Rattus norvegicus: one gene and its partner. The protein of the gene in region 2 binds, or shares a complex with, the protein of the main gene of each other region. Links are inferred from orthologs where the notes say so. Each region holds a gene or a part of one and is shown on either strand. Other genes may lie near its edges. The genes, in order: Pdk3 and Dlat.

Region 1 (6,818 bases), on a different chromosome or scaffold from region 2:
ACGAACTAGAGATAAAAGCTATAAAACTAAGAAATAAATTTAAGCAAATAAACAGATGGTAGAAGCTAGGTCTGCTGCCTCAGGCCTATAATTCCAGCACCCAAAGAGTTGAGACTGAAGGATCACTAAGAGTTCAAAGCCAGTTTGGTCTACACAGTAAGTTCCAGCAGAATGAAACCCTATCTAAAATAACAGTTAGGGGAGGGGTAGAGAATAAAGACAAAAAAATCAAAAATAAAGAAAAAAAGATTGTTAAGACCCTACTATCAAAGCTGCATGTATTGGTGCATACCTCTAATCCTAGCATTCAGAGCATTCTATGGCTCATGTCCTTAATTCTAGCACTGAGGAGACAGAGGCAAGCAGATCTCTGAGTTTGAGGCCAGCTTGGTCTACAGAGGGTTTTCTAGACCCTGTTTCAGTAAATAAGAAGGTGCTACCAAGCTCCAATCCAATGGTCACACAGATAGCTCTGGTTAAATTAAATAGATCATAAAACCAAACCCAAAGCCAGGATTCTAGGAAAGGGTGTGTGGGGTGGGGTGAGGTGGGGATTGGGATGGGAGATGGATGGGAGGAATGCAGGAGACAATAGTTAAGAATGGATTGTATACAGAACAAACTAGTCAAAAGACAAGCAAATTCTTTTAAGCACAAAATAAAAAGTGAGTGCCTAAATGGAAAAAGAGATGGGGGAGATGGGAATCTATCCAAACTTCACACACACACACACACACACACACACACACACACACACACACATACACACACACAAATCAATGAAAATCAGGACTTTGTAGAAAAAAATATATCCAAATGGGCTCCAGATGACACAGAAAATCTACACAGACCAAGACCATAGAATACAGAAACTTGTGGAAGGTTTCTTATGAGTGTTATACCAAATCTTTAAAGAACAGTCAACTCAAAAGAATAAATCAGTGTTAATGCAGAGAAAAGTGTCTTTCTGAAACAAGCCTAACTTTCACACAAAGAAAACCAAGCCTAACAGCCTGCATATGCAACTGTCTTCAAACAGCACAGGGCTTTTAGTATAATGACCCAAGAGTCATCAAACTATCCCTTCCACTGTTATACAATTTTCCAAAATAAAAGGCCAAGATAAAGCTTACTTGAAGAAAAAAAAACCACATTTCTGTGTAAACATGACTTCATGTATCAAAAGTGTGACTGACAACCATGTAGCAAAAGTACAGAAAAGCAGGCACTCTGTCTCAGAAACTTCCAATGGGTGGGTAAGTACATACCTCCTATGGAAAGGAATTTGTTAACAATTCTCAAAATTACAAATGTGCATTCTCCTTGATGGAGCAAGGTCACCTTTAGGAATTTGTCTTCTATCCACACCCAGACATGCGTGAAATTACAGTGTACGAAATACTTCACTGCAGTACTGTGTCATAGCAAAGTCTACAAACATCCCACTAGCTGTCACTTGTGAGACGTCTAATTACACTACATCCATATGAACTCTGAGCAGTCAGAAAAAGGAAAAGTTTACAAGTACATATAAAGTAAGTTCTTTCATAGTACGCTTAAAAAGCAAGATACAAATAAAACTATGTGGTGCAACTTATGCAAAGAGACTAGTCAACAGAAGTAGGAAACAGGCATTTTCTACCTAGGTCCTTTTGCATCTTTTGAATTTGGAACCATGTAACTGCCGTCTTGAGCTGGCAGTTTTTATGTTGTTGTTTTTTGAATCTTGCCCTCGGGAATGGTACTACAGTAGTATCTTTGTAAACTGATACTCCACTACAGTAGTATCTTTGTAAACTGATACTCCACTTAGAATACTTATTATTCTTGCAGACTGAAATTCCAGTGAAGATGATTCAAGAAACTCTTATTTTTTAAGGGCTTAAATACTCTACGCCAAAAAAAGGGAGGCAGCAGATTAGCCAGAAGTATACCTACTTAATGGTTTTTTAATCCTGATGATGCTCCAGAATGACCCTGGGGTCTTCTAAAAATACCAGTGCCCTACACTCCATGCATATACTACTAATAGCAGAAATTCAGGGCATGAGGCCCTGCCCCCAAACCACTGATCTCAATGCTTTAAAATAGTGAACATTTGTTTCTAGATACTCACCACATAGATTACCACCATGACAATAACCTTCCAGTAGTTTTCCTATTCAAATAACACCCTGGCCTACTGACACGGGAGACACTGCCATAGAAGCAAGGTAACTGAAATTTTAGGCATACTAGTCAAACTTTCACAAACTTTGAGGGTGGGGGTGAGCAAAGTTTCCTTTGTTCTTTTAACTGAGAATTTGTCTGTTTACCCTAACAAAAAGTTCCTATGTTCACAGTAATCTCTAGCCCTAAGATAGGAAAGCAGGCCAGGAGGAGAGACCCAATTCCCACAAGTTGTCCTCTGACTTCTACACACCATGATACATGTGTAGCCACACAAATTCATGCATAGATAAAATGTTTAAGAATAAATACATCAATTGCCAGAGGGAGTAGAGCCCAACTACTGAAATGCTTTTGAAACTGAAACTTAAGATGCAAAGGCCAAAAACTTCTCCCTCATCTTAGATTTTCATCATCTCTCTTTGGCAACCGGCTTCTAAAACTTAAGTGGACATCAGCTTAAACCTCTAACCTATACCTCTTTCCATCCCGTTTGTTTCTCCCCCAAATATAGACAACATCACATTTTGTATATCTGATCTTCCCAGAAAGTTCTACCTATTTTGCATTTTTATATCCAACTGACACCATCCCATGACATTTAAGTCAAATGACTTCAACAGATCTAGGTTTTGAGAGCCTAAGTCATCTTGAGTTTCCTTTGGGGATGCCGAGTTCCATTTTTGTTTTATTTCAGGTGTTTCACAACTGCATTCGGCCTGCTGGAGTTGGAATGACATCCTCTGGGGAAACATGATTGATCAGTTAAAGGAAGGTGGCAGAATCTACTTCCATCCAAGTAGGCCTCAGGCTTTATTGGGGTCCTCTCCCTTCCCACCCTGATCCATGAAAAATGAAGGACTAGCCCAGCTGCCAACAGGGTGCATGGGACATCAAGGAAAGGTGCTCACACTTAGGCTGGAGTTGTCCTAGAACCCCTGCTTTGTAGCCAGGAGCCCACCGGTCAGCTCTTACCCAGCATGTAAGGCATTTGCAGCCCAAGACTATGATTGCTTTGAAGTCCTAATCATAATGAAGGCATTCAGGTCGTGCCACTCAAGGCTACCCAACACCTTACAGCAGAAAAGGAACAAAACGCCACTACGTGATTTACTCAATCTCAAGGTGTTTCTAAACACGTCTTACACAACCATTAGAAACATCTAAAAACAAAAACGTTTATGAGTTCTCTTTCTGAAGTTTTAAGGAGAGTGCGGTTTGAGTGCTCATAATGAATAGCTGGGGAGTTCTGACAGGGATGAGGGTCGTTGGACGAAGCTGGGCATGGGGGGTGTCAGGCCCTGCCTCTCCACCTCCCTAAACCCGAAACCTAAGCCCCAGGAGGGCTCTCAGCATGCTTCCCCATCACCGAAGGTTCTCACGGACTTTGCCCTGAAGCTGAAGAGCCTCAGCTGCAGGCAGGACAAGGATGGCGGCTCCCTCACTCCCCTGGGCCTTGGAGGTGGCTCCAAGGAGTCACACTTACCGAAGTCCAGGAACTGTTTGATAGAGAGCGGCGACGGAGAGAAGCGGGAGTAGCGCTCGATCTGCTTGGGGACCGGCTGCTTGAGCAGCCGGTAGAAGAGCCGCATCCTTACTGGTGGAGTGTGCAGATCCGCCAAGCCGTCCCGGACTGGAGCAGAGGCCGCCGCCGCCAAGACACAAGGAGGAGGCGGCGCCGGCGGGGCTTTACCTCTACCTGGGGCTCGGCCTTGGCGCCAGTAGCCGGTCGCCGCCGCGGCACCTACCCAAGCACCGGGCAGCAGTTAGGCGCCCGTGGCCGGCTGCCCGCGGGTTCTCAAGCCCCGCCTAGAAAAGGCGGGATCTGCCGCCGCACGTACGCGGCGCGCGTGGGATGTGAGGGGCGCTAGGGGTACGCGGCTGCACGCGCGTGCTGCTGATTGGCTGCCTCCGCCGCCAAAGCTTCCTTAAAGCCCCGGTAACACGCACAAACCTCCCGCCCTCGCTCGTGGGTCTCAGCCTGCCACCAGCCAGCTAGTTGCTGCCGGTCCCGCCCCGGGTCAGGTCTTGAGAAGTGCTCCGAGACTTGAAGTACACTGGGAGCCCACGCCTGAGATATCGTTAGGACTGTTCTAGACCTTCCCAACCCTAGGCCCCTCTTCCGGAAGGCCCTCCTCAGATCTGCTGAGTCCTCAGCTTTAAGTTGTTCCTTGCAGTCCTATGCTTTTTCTTAACTGCACGGTTTGTTTCATCCTCTCCAACAATTAATTACAGAATTAAATGAAAGCTACTGGCCCTCCTACCCCCCCCACCCCCCCACCCCGGCCACACGACAGGATTCAGTGTATCATCAATTAACCTGGCCACAGGGCCTCTGCTCACTGACTGCCCACCTTCGCTCTGGTGAATACCTTTGGACAGGATTGTTACAAAACAGGATTGTTACGTCACTGGGTGCGGTTCCTGGCCTTACACTCCTTAGCTACCAACTGGGCCAAGAACAGCATCTTTAGATCACTTTTTGATGCTTCTTTCACCACTACCACCTTTGAAGGAATCCATTACAAATGAAGGTCATTAACACTTGATTTCCATGCTTCCTAGATCCCCTTGCTCCCAGTTTGTTGGGATTAATCACAATTATTTCATTGCCCAAACATACATAACATCCATTGGAAAGGCTCAAATTAGAGCCACTGACCAGTCTCTTTCACAACCCCTCACCGTCACAGAACCCTGACTCAGTTTCACCACTACTACCACTTTGGTGCAGGAGTCTATGTTTACATTGTGCTAGATTTTCTTTGCATGACAGTAAGCTTAAATTCATGGCTCAGTATATGAAATCAGCATTTGCTAATGTGGATATATGAACTACTGCTTGCTTTTCACCATTACTAGGAAACATTAATTTTTGTTACTGTGTAAACATCAACTAGAAAAAAGGTAAGAATTCTCCTTGGTCTGATTATTAGTGGAAAGTTTCATGTCTTCATTTGGTTATGTACTCACTTTTTGCTTTATAAAATTGTTGCACTTCTACTCGTTGAATTTAAAGGGAAAAAAAGCACGTGCATTCAGAGATAAAAATTCAGATTTTTAAGTACAACATATGATATGTGGACTACTTTGCCTTTTCCATTCGAAGCAAAGCCTTAAGAGACTTAGCAACAACCTCTGTAAAGGGCAGATTTACCAACAGAGCAGAACACTGACTGCAGTTGGGAGTGCTCGGGCAGACAAGGAGTGGCCTATGGTTGTCTACTCACTTTCTTGGGTGCTGCCAACAGGTGGAGTTTTACTAATAGCAGTTCTGGATGAAGATCACTGAGAAGGGAAAAGTTGTGTGTTGGTGGGGAGAGAGGTTTTTCCACCTATGTGACACAGTACTGCTGAACCTTCTGAACTCACCCATCAACTTTTTCATAATTTCCTTTTCTGCTGCACAAACTGCTACTTTAAATTATTTTATTCTGATGTTTTAATTCCTTAAAATGATTATGCTTAATTTTATGCTTGCCTGAAAATTGGCACAGTTCTAAGAGTTGAGGAAATATGAAAGAAGCCTGTATAATGGAAACTTGTGCTGGTCCACAGCTAAATGACCCAGCTCTAAACTTGACCCTATCATTAGCAAGCTGTATGACCTAAGACTAGTCTAGTAGCATCCTGTGTCCCAGTTATTTTAATGTCAGCTGGAGATGTATGACTTCTCTTCCTTTATTTGTGGCAATTAAATAAAATAAATATATCTAATATAAATATAAGGCACATCTGGTCCTATTCTGTACGTGATAATGATTAATCTAGAAATTAAAGTCAGTTGATTTCAGTAGTAGTTATTATTGGATCTCTTGAGCTTAAATCTCAAAGTTTTTCCAGCTTGTTATGCACATAAGGTTTTACACAGGCCTCTTTGTGCTTCTTGAATTCTTGTGGTGTTCCGAATGAAAATGGTCTCCTTAAGGCTCACAAAGAGTGACACTATTAGGAGGTGTGGTCTTGTTGGAGGAAGTGTGTTACTAGGGGTAGGCTTGGAGGATTCAGATGGCCAAGCCAGGCTCAGTAGCTCACTGTCTTTTCCTGCTGCCTGTGGATCCACATGTAGAACTCTTGGCTCCTCTGGCACCATGTCTGTTTGCATACTGCCATGCTTCCTGCCATGATGACAATTTACTAAACCTCTGAAACTATAAGCCATCCCCAGTGAAATGTTTTCCTTTATAAGAGTTGCATTGGTCATGGTGTCTCTTCACAGAAATAGAACCCTAAGATAAATCTCTAGCCCATTCAGAGAAGCAGTACCTGGAAGCTTGTTAGAAATGCAAACTCTTGGATTGTACTACAGTCTTACTAAAACCAACTCTTTGTAGTTAGGACTCAAGGACTTGACCACAAATTCTTTTATAGTCCTGTCTTCAAAAGCTACAGCTTAATTCCCCTCCTGCTGAATGTGGGTTAGCTTTAGCATTGGCTTCTAACAAATAGATTATGGTCACAAGTGATGAAATTACATTCAGAGGTTAGTTTAGAAAGCTACTATGTCTCTCGAAATAACCTGAGCAGAATCCCCCAAACTATCAAGGCCATTAAAAGCCAGGAAAACCAGAGAGGCTTACACAGCATAGAGAAACCTGAAAAGATATAACAACTTAATATAACGTACTCTCCTAGATGGGATTCTGGGG
Region 2 (6,810 bases):
CTAAGTGCTCAAGAACACTTGCTCTTGCACAGGACCTGAGTTTGGGTCTCCATGGGTCAGTTCCCAACCACCTGTAACTCCAGCTTCAGTGAATCCAATCCTGCCTCTGGGAATACCAGCATGCACATGACACACATGTGCACACACGATTTTTAAAAATGAACATTAGAGCTCTTCCTGGAACAAAGGATGAGGTTCAATAGTAGAAGAGTAGCTGACTAGAAGAACAATACATTATATTTTTTGAGACTTTTTAAAAAAAAAACAAAAAACACTCTCTCTCTCTCTCTGCGCGCGCGCACGTGTGTGTGTGTGTGTGTGTGTGTGTGTGTGTGTGTGTGTGTATGTGTGTGATATGCACAGGTGTACATAACATAAATGTCCAGTACAGAAGTCTGTGCTATCTCCCTCATTTCCTTGAGATAGGGAAGTCAACAAGCCTTGCTCTCTAACTCTGTCTTTGCTCCTTATAGCACTATGGTCACAGAAGAGGACTTACCCCCACGATGACCTCTACACAGATAAATGCAGTGTACCCACACACACACTAAATGCATATAAAAAAATTTGTATTTTGGACATGGTTTCTCTGTATAACAGCCATGGCTGTCTTGGAACTCAATTTGTAGACCAGGCTGTCCTCAAACTCACAGAGATCTGCATGCCTCTGCTTCCAGTGTGCTGGAATTAAAGGCCTGTACTACCATGGCCAGCTGATACATATACGTTTTTACTTGCATTCCTATTTATATAATTGTGTCCACTAAATTTGGGTGGCTGTCAGTTATCTGCTATCTTCTTTGTCTTTTAAATAGGAATAGCCTTATAGTAAGGAAAAAAATCATTTCAGTCAAAATTGTTTCTAGAAGTGGGGGAAAAAAATAAAACAAGACAGAAAATTCTTTTCTGGTTTTTTGTTTGTTTTTGTTTGGTTTGTTTTTTGTTTGTTTGGCTTCTGCTTGAGTGCTGGGATTAAAGGTGTGAACCACCACGCCTGCAAGACTTAGAAATTCTTTAAAAATTATTTTCGGTTCATAGTTTCTTTTCTTTGTTGCATAATCACCAGTGAGTAAGTGAAAGTATAAGTGTGTGTGTGAGTGTGTATGTGTGTGTGTATGTGTGAGTCTGTGTGAGTATGTGTGTGAGTCTGTGTGTGAGTCTGTGTGTATGAGTGTGTATATGTGTGTGAGTGTGTATGTATGTGTATATGTGTGTATGTGTCTGTGGGGGGGTGGGGAGAAATATACTCATTTATGTATCTTTACCATCTCAAAGGATTCTTAGGGCCCAATTCTAACACTTCAACACAAAGTAGGATAAAATGGAGAAACGAGGTCTTATGCAATAAAATAAGGTTGCTGAACTGAAAGAAATAACCATGAAAGCTAAAGACCAAGAAAAATGCCATCATAAGGGATTGTTAGCAATAGAAATGGAGCATGATTTCCAGAGAGAAACTGATTCACCCAGAAAACTTCTCATAGGGTTAAGGAAAGGTCAAATCTTTTTTTTTTTTTAATTTATTTATTTATTCAGACACACCAGAAGAGGACATCAGCTCTCATTACAGATGGTTGTGAGCCACCATGTGGTTGCTGGGATTTGAACTCAGGACCTGTGGAAGAGCAGTCAGTGCTCTTAACCACTGAGCCATCTCTCCAGCCCGAAAGGTCAAATCTTAATCCTGTACATTTTACTTCCCACATCAAGACCACACAGGGGGTTGGGGATTTAGCTCAGTGGTAGAGCGCTTGCCTAGCAAACGCAAGGCCCTGGGTTCGGTCCCCAGAAGACCACACAGACACACAGAGGAAAGTTCTAATATCTAATAATGTGATTTAGTGCATGTGCTTTGTCGTCTGTAGACATTTTTCTTCTTTGGCTCTTTTTTCCATTTGTTTGGTTCTATTCTAGTTTATTTTTATTTTATTATTGTTTTTCTCGTTTTTAGATTCTAATATAAAAGAGAAGGAAAAGGTACAGGTTTGGATAGGTTAGGGAAATGGAGAAGATCTGGGAGGTAGGAAACTGTAATTAGATTATGTAAATGAAGGAAAATCTACTTAACAAAACCATGACTTAGTTTCCTAGACGATATTAGGTTCATGATAATCACATCTATGGACACTAGCATTGTTACAATGTCATCCTGTAGACGTATTCGATACTGCTTGTTCTTTTTAAATGATTTATTTTTATTTTACATGCATAGGTGTTTTGCCTGTATGTATGTCTTTGTGAGGGTGCTAGATCCCCTGGAACTAGACTTACAGACAAAAGTAAGCTGCCATGTGGCTGCTGGGAATCAAACCTGAGTCCTCTGAAAGAGCGGCCAGTGCTCTGACCATTGAGCCGTCTCTTCATACTTATTTTTTCTTGTTATTTTCTCATTAATGAGTATTACTGAAATACTTCATCTATGCTTAGAAGTAGCCCACTCTAGGGTTGGGGATTTAGCTCAGTGGTAGAGCGCTTGCATAGCAAGTGCAAGGCCCTGGGTTCAGTCCCCAGCTCCGAAAAAAAAAAAGAAAAAAGAAAAAAAAAAAAAAAAAAAAAAGAAGTAGCCCACTCTAAACCAAAGGAAAATATCTGGGGACTTTCATTCAACAGAGAGCACCTCTTCTCTACTTAAATTCTACTTGTATAGGAAAAAAAAAAAAACATTTGCAAAACCTTTAACATTGTTTGCAAATGAGAAAAACCAAGCATGATCCTGTATCCTGAGCTAAGGCTGAGAAAGGTTAAAGAAACTGTCCAAGCTCACACACTTGGAAACAACGAGAGTACAAGCTGTCAAGCTTCACAGTTAAATCTCTGTGGACTGCCAGTGACGGGCACTTACATATAACAAGTTTTCAGGATGCAATCACCACCCATAAAGAATATAAAGAAGCAGTCATCAGGAGCCGGCACTCAGAAGCTGAGTCTTACCTGCATGTGAACGGGATAGGAGCTACCTGGAGCACTTGCAGAAGGTGCAGCTGGGGCAGCAGCTGGAGCTGCAGCTGGGGCTGGGGCTGCCTGTGTGGCAGCTGTTGCTGAATCCAATGTATAATTTTTAAAGGCCTCAATATCCTGAGGCCTGAAGAAAAAGAATACATAAATATAGAATTTATGAAGCAAATTCAATCCCTAACCTCCCAGCAAGTCCTCAAATGTCTTTAACTTCCGAATTGAGTTAAAACGTTTTAAAAGCACAAATTACAAGGTTTTTTTTCCAACTCACTTTTCAACTGTGATACAAATGATAGATCCTACTGGAACATCTCTGGTCCCCTCAGGAACAAGGATCTTTGCCATATAGCACTCCTCCAAGCTCTCAAATCCAACAGTGGCTTTATCAGTTTCAACCTGTTAGCACAAGGCACTGGCTTAGGTTTGTACTGCCAACATGCAGTTAATTAGAACGTGTCTAGAAATCCACACCAAGATAAACCCACTACCACAGACTTGAAAGAATGGTTTTAAAACATTTTGGGTAGAGGCCAGGCATTGCTAGCATTCAGCAGGCATGGCAGGCCAGCCAGAGTTACATGGTGAAACCTTGTCTCAAACAGTCACTTTAGCTAGCTGCTGACAACTTAGCTGACCAATCATCTCTAATAACTGGGAAGAGGGGAGGGGAGCAGCTTCTTAAAGAGAAAGAAGTAACTACCTACCAGAAGGCTAAGCCTCAGTCTATTGACAAAGCCACTCCCTTAGAATCATCTGCATATTTTAAAACTTACCTCTGCAATTAGATCACCCTCACTGATTTTTTCCCCTTCTTTTTTTTCCCAGCGGGCTATGGTGCCTGCCTGCATTGTAGGGGAAAGTGAAGGTAGTGGAACCTGCAAGAGAAAAAGAAGCATACATTTAAACAGGGATACTCAACTCTCTTTAGTGTGCTTTAGTTTCATCCCACCCAATTCCATGGAAAATATTTACTGAGTCCCATTACAAATTGGTCACTGTTGATACAAAGGGAGTTCTAGCACCCCAGAAATTTCATGACTTTCAATGGCAGGTTGATCCTCCAGTCAGTCTGGTGAATCTGAGAAGCACGTGAGACTTCATAGACCTTTTGCTTATATCCCCAGGCTTAAAGCTCTTCTTTCAACAGAAGAGATCCCCACTCGGAAGGTCTTGGGCAAGGGACCATAATAGATCTGAAAGGGAGTTGGCTGACGGAGGCCTCTCAAGGAGGATTCCCCGCGCCAAGAAGCGGGCTCTGAAGGACAACAGGCTCCGGGGTGGATCACTCACCTTCTGGTGCGGAGGGAGGCTATAAGAGCGGCGGCTGGGCGACCCCAGGAGTTGTTGCAGTATGCGGTTACGTGGGACGGTGGCAGAGCCGTAGCTCCAGCCGCACAACGAGCGGACCCCATAGCTGGGTATCCCACTGCCGCAACGAACTGCGGCGGGGCCGGTCCGCGGGCCCTTCAAAGTTGCCCACCGAGCCCTGAACCCGGCCCTGGGAACAGCACTCTGCACCCTCCGCGCACAGACGCGCCACATACTGCCACCGACCCCACGCCCCAAAGGCTCCGCCGTCTCCGGAGTGACCTCTCCAAGAGCAGCGCGGCTCTGCCGTCAGCCGCGCACTGCGGTCGCGCAGTGTCGTAAAAGCGGCTGCTTGGACTGGCGGGCGGAACGCAGGGCGTCGGCGTGGGTCTGCCGGGGAACTGGTCAGAGACAGCCGGGAGGGACCCGAGGCGGCAGCTCGGATCTACGGTGACGAAGGCGTTTCCAGGCAGTGCGGGGGCAGTGCACGTTTGGTAGAAACGGGAAAGGCCCTAAGAGAGGTGTCGCAGAGGTTGGGAAGTACGGCCAGCTCTAAGGTGGTGGCCTAAGGGACCGAGAGTCGGACCGGCTACAGCCTGCGGTCAGGGAGGCGGTGCCAAAAGGAATGACCGTCTTTGCTTTAAGAAAAAGCTGGGGAAAGGAGTCTGGACGGACAGTAATCCAAAGCTTTAGGTCAGTGGGTGCGGGCGCACCTCCAAAAGTTGGAGAAAGGAAAGGCCCTCGAGTGACCTCCGGGGATTAGAGGGTGTCCCTTGACTGCAGAGCCCGCCCAGCGCAGGCTGTCGTAGGTCCTTAGCCCCCCTGAAACGGGAGCAGCAGGGTTTTCAGTCAAATGATATTAAGGGCAGCCAAGAGAAAGGTACCTTTTTCACATTTCGAGTTAGTCTCAGAGGACTAATTATAGTCCCAATATAAAGATACTTGTTTGTAAAAATTGTTTTATTACCCCCAGATGACCACTGTATCCTCTTAAATAGCGAAAATATTTAAGACATACAGCAGACAAGGTGGCACATTCCTTTAATTATAGCATTCCGGTGGCTGAGGCAGGTGGATCCCTAAGTTCCAGGCCAGTCTGGTCTATATAGTTAGTTGCCAGGCCAGCGTGGGCTACAGAGATTCTTTTTTAAAAGAAAGGTTTAAGATACAACTTTGCAAAAGCCATTGTCCTGCTATTCTGCAGTTCTGTGAACTCAATGGGAAAACATCAAAAACCTTTCTTAAACTATGGAGTAACAATGTAAAGTCAAAAGAAAAAATGGCACCTTAAGCGTCTGAACTGAATCACACCAACCTAGGTTGTTTCTAGATAAGGCTGCCTACACTGAATTCCACCGAGTCACTGCAACTGTGGCTCTGAGGACACCTTTGCACTGCCTTGCCCTCGGTGTCACACAAGGCCAGCCAACACCGCTTGAAACACCTTGGCACAGATTCACCAAGCATGGTGTGATTCGCACTGGTTTTACTGTACAAAGTTTTCTGCTCTCACGTGAACATAATGGTTTTAATTGCAGAAAGCAGACATTTCCCACAGTTATTATATATAAACATTGTAGCAGTATAATCTTTAGGTTGAATAGTTAAGAGTATTTGAATCTTAAAATTGCTGTGGCTTACTTGAATTTCATCGAAAAATCAATCAATGAATTTTGGTTTGATATTAGGACAAAGTTTTCCAGTAAATGTCCACATTTTGTTACCTATTTTTTTAAAAATTGACATGATTTTCTGTATATATGCTAACACACTCAAACTCTGAGCCATCTCTCCAGCCCAACACTGAGCTATCTTGCCAGCTCATGTTACAGATTTAGGTGAGGCAGCAGCCTCAATATTAACAACTATAAATCAAAATATTTGTCAACTTTATGTATTGCAATATCATATATTTAAGTTGTTTTTTTAAACTTGCAGCACAGTTAACACACGATATCTCATTTATAAACCTAAACTATGTGTCCATACTAAAAGAATATCTAACTAAAATGGGTATATACACATTGTAATTTTTTTCAGTCATTAATAATGGAGTTTGACATTCACAAAAATTATTTTCTCTCATTTGTGATCCTAGACTTTTGTTCAAAATCATATATGTCTGCCAAGGACATAGAAACGAAACAAACGGGATTAATGGGAAGGAGAAAGGGAAGAAGAAGAGGGGTAAAGACCATCTGATGTGGCACGAACATCATATAAATAAGGTTTTTCTTTTACTAATCTGTAAGGCAGATCAGGATCCTATGTGTTTCTCATTGTCTTCTGAATTAGCATAGTAGTAAGTGTGCCTGACTTTTCAGTTATCAGTAATGATTTATGTGCAACATTTATGAAATATGTATCCATTGTATGGTCTATATAATTTGAAAGCCTTATCATTTCTGAACTGAAAGTGATATTAAATTAGGAGGAAGCATGTGCTGTATTTATACCAACTTCTCAGTGTACAGATGGTCAGAGAACACCAAGAACACAAGAAGAAACTGGAAGAAAAAAAAAGTTAAAACTGATAGCCAGTATGGT

The links.
Region 1: the proteins of Dlat (region 2) and Pdk3 are in contact, whole or in part, in a crystal structure (PDB 1Y8N), measured with the Homo sapiens proteins. The link is inferred for Rattus norvegicus from reciprocal best matches to the Homo sapiens genes DLAT and PDK3. Residues at the interface, in NP_001922.2 of Homo sapiens: Ala225, Leu226, Ser227, Pro228, Thr229, Glu248, Gly249, Lys259, Ala260, Ile262, Glu265; in NP_005382.1 of Homo sapiens: Arg21, Phe22, Ser23, Pro24, Ser25, Pro26, Leu27, Phe48, Lys51, Val55, Asn373, Lys374, Ser375, Arg378.

What each region holds. Positions count from the first base shown.
Region 1 is NC_086039.1:62,543,418-62,550,235, forward strand, and holds the start of Pdk3 (pyruvate dehydrogenase kinase, isozyme 3), read right to left. Parts: upstream 3,955-6,818; 5' UTR 3,762-3,954; coding exon 3,656-3,761; intron 1-3,655. UniProt on the Homo sapiens protein: Inhibits pyruvate dehydrogenase activity by phosphorylation of the E1 subunit PDHA1, and thereby regulates glucose metabolism and aerobic respiration. Can also phosphorylate PDHA2.
Region 2 is NC_086026.1:59,896,312-59,903,121, forward strand, and holds the start of Dlat (dihydrolipoyllysine-residue acetyltransferase component of pyruvate dehydrogenase complex, mitochondrial), read right to left. Parts: upstream 4,508-6,810; 5' UTR 4,498-4,507; coding exon 4,246-4,497; intron 3,831-4,245; coding exon 3,729-3,830; intron 3,352-3,728; coding exon 3,227-3,351; intron 3,083-3,226; coding exon 2,932-3,082; intron 1-2,931.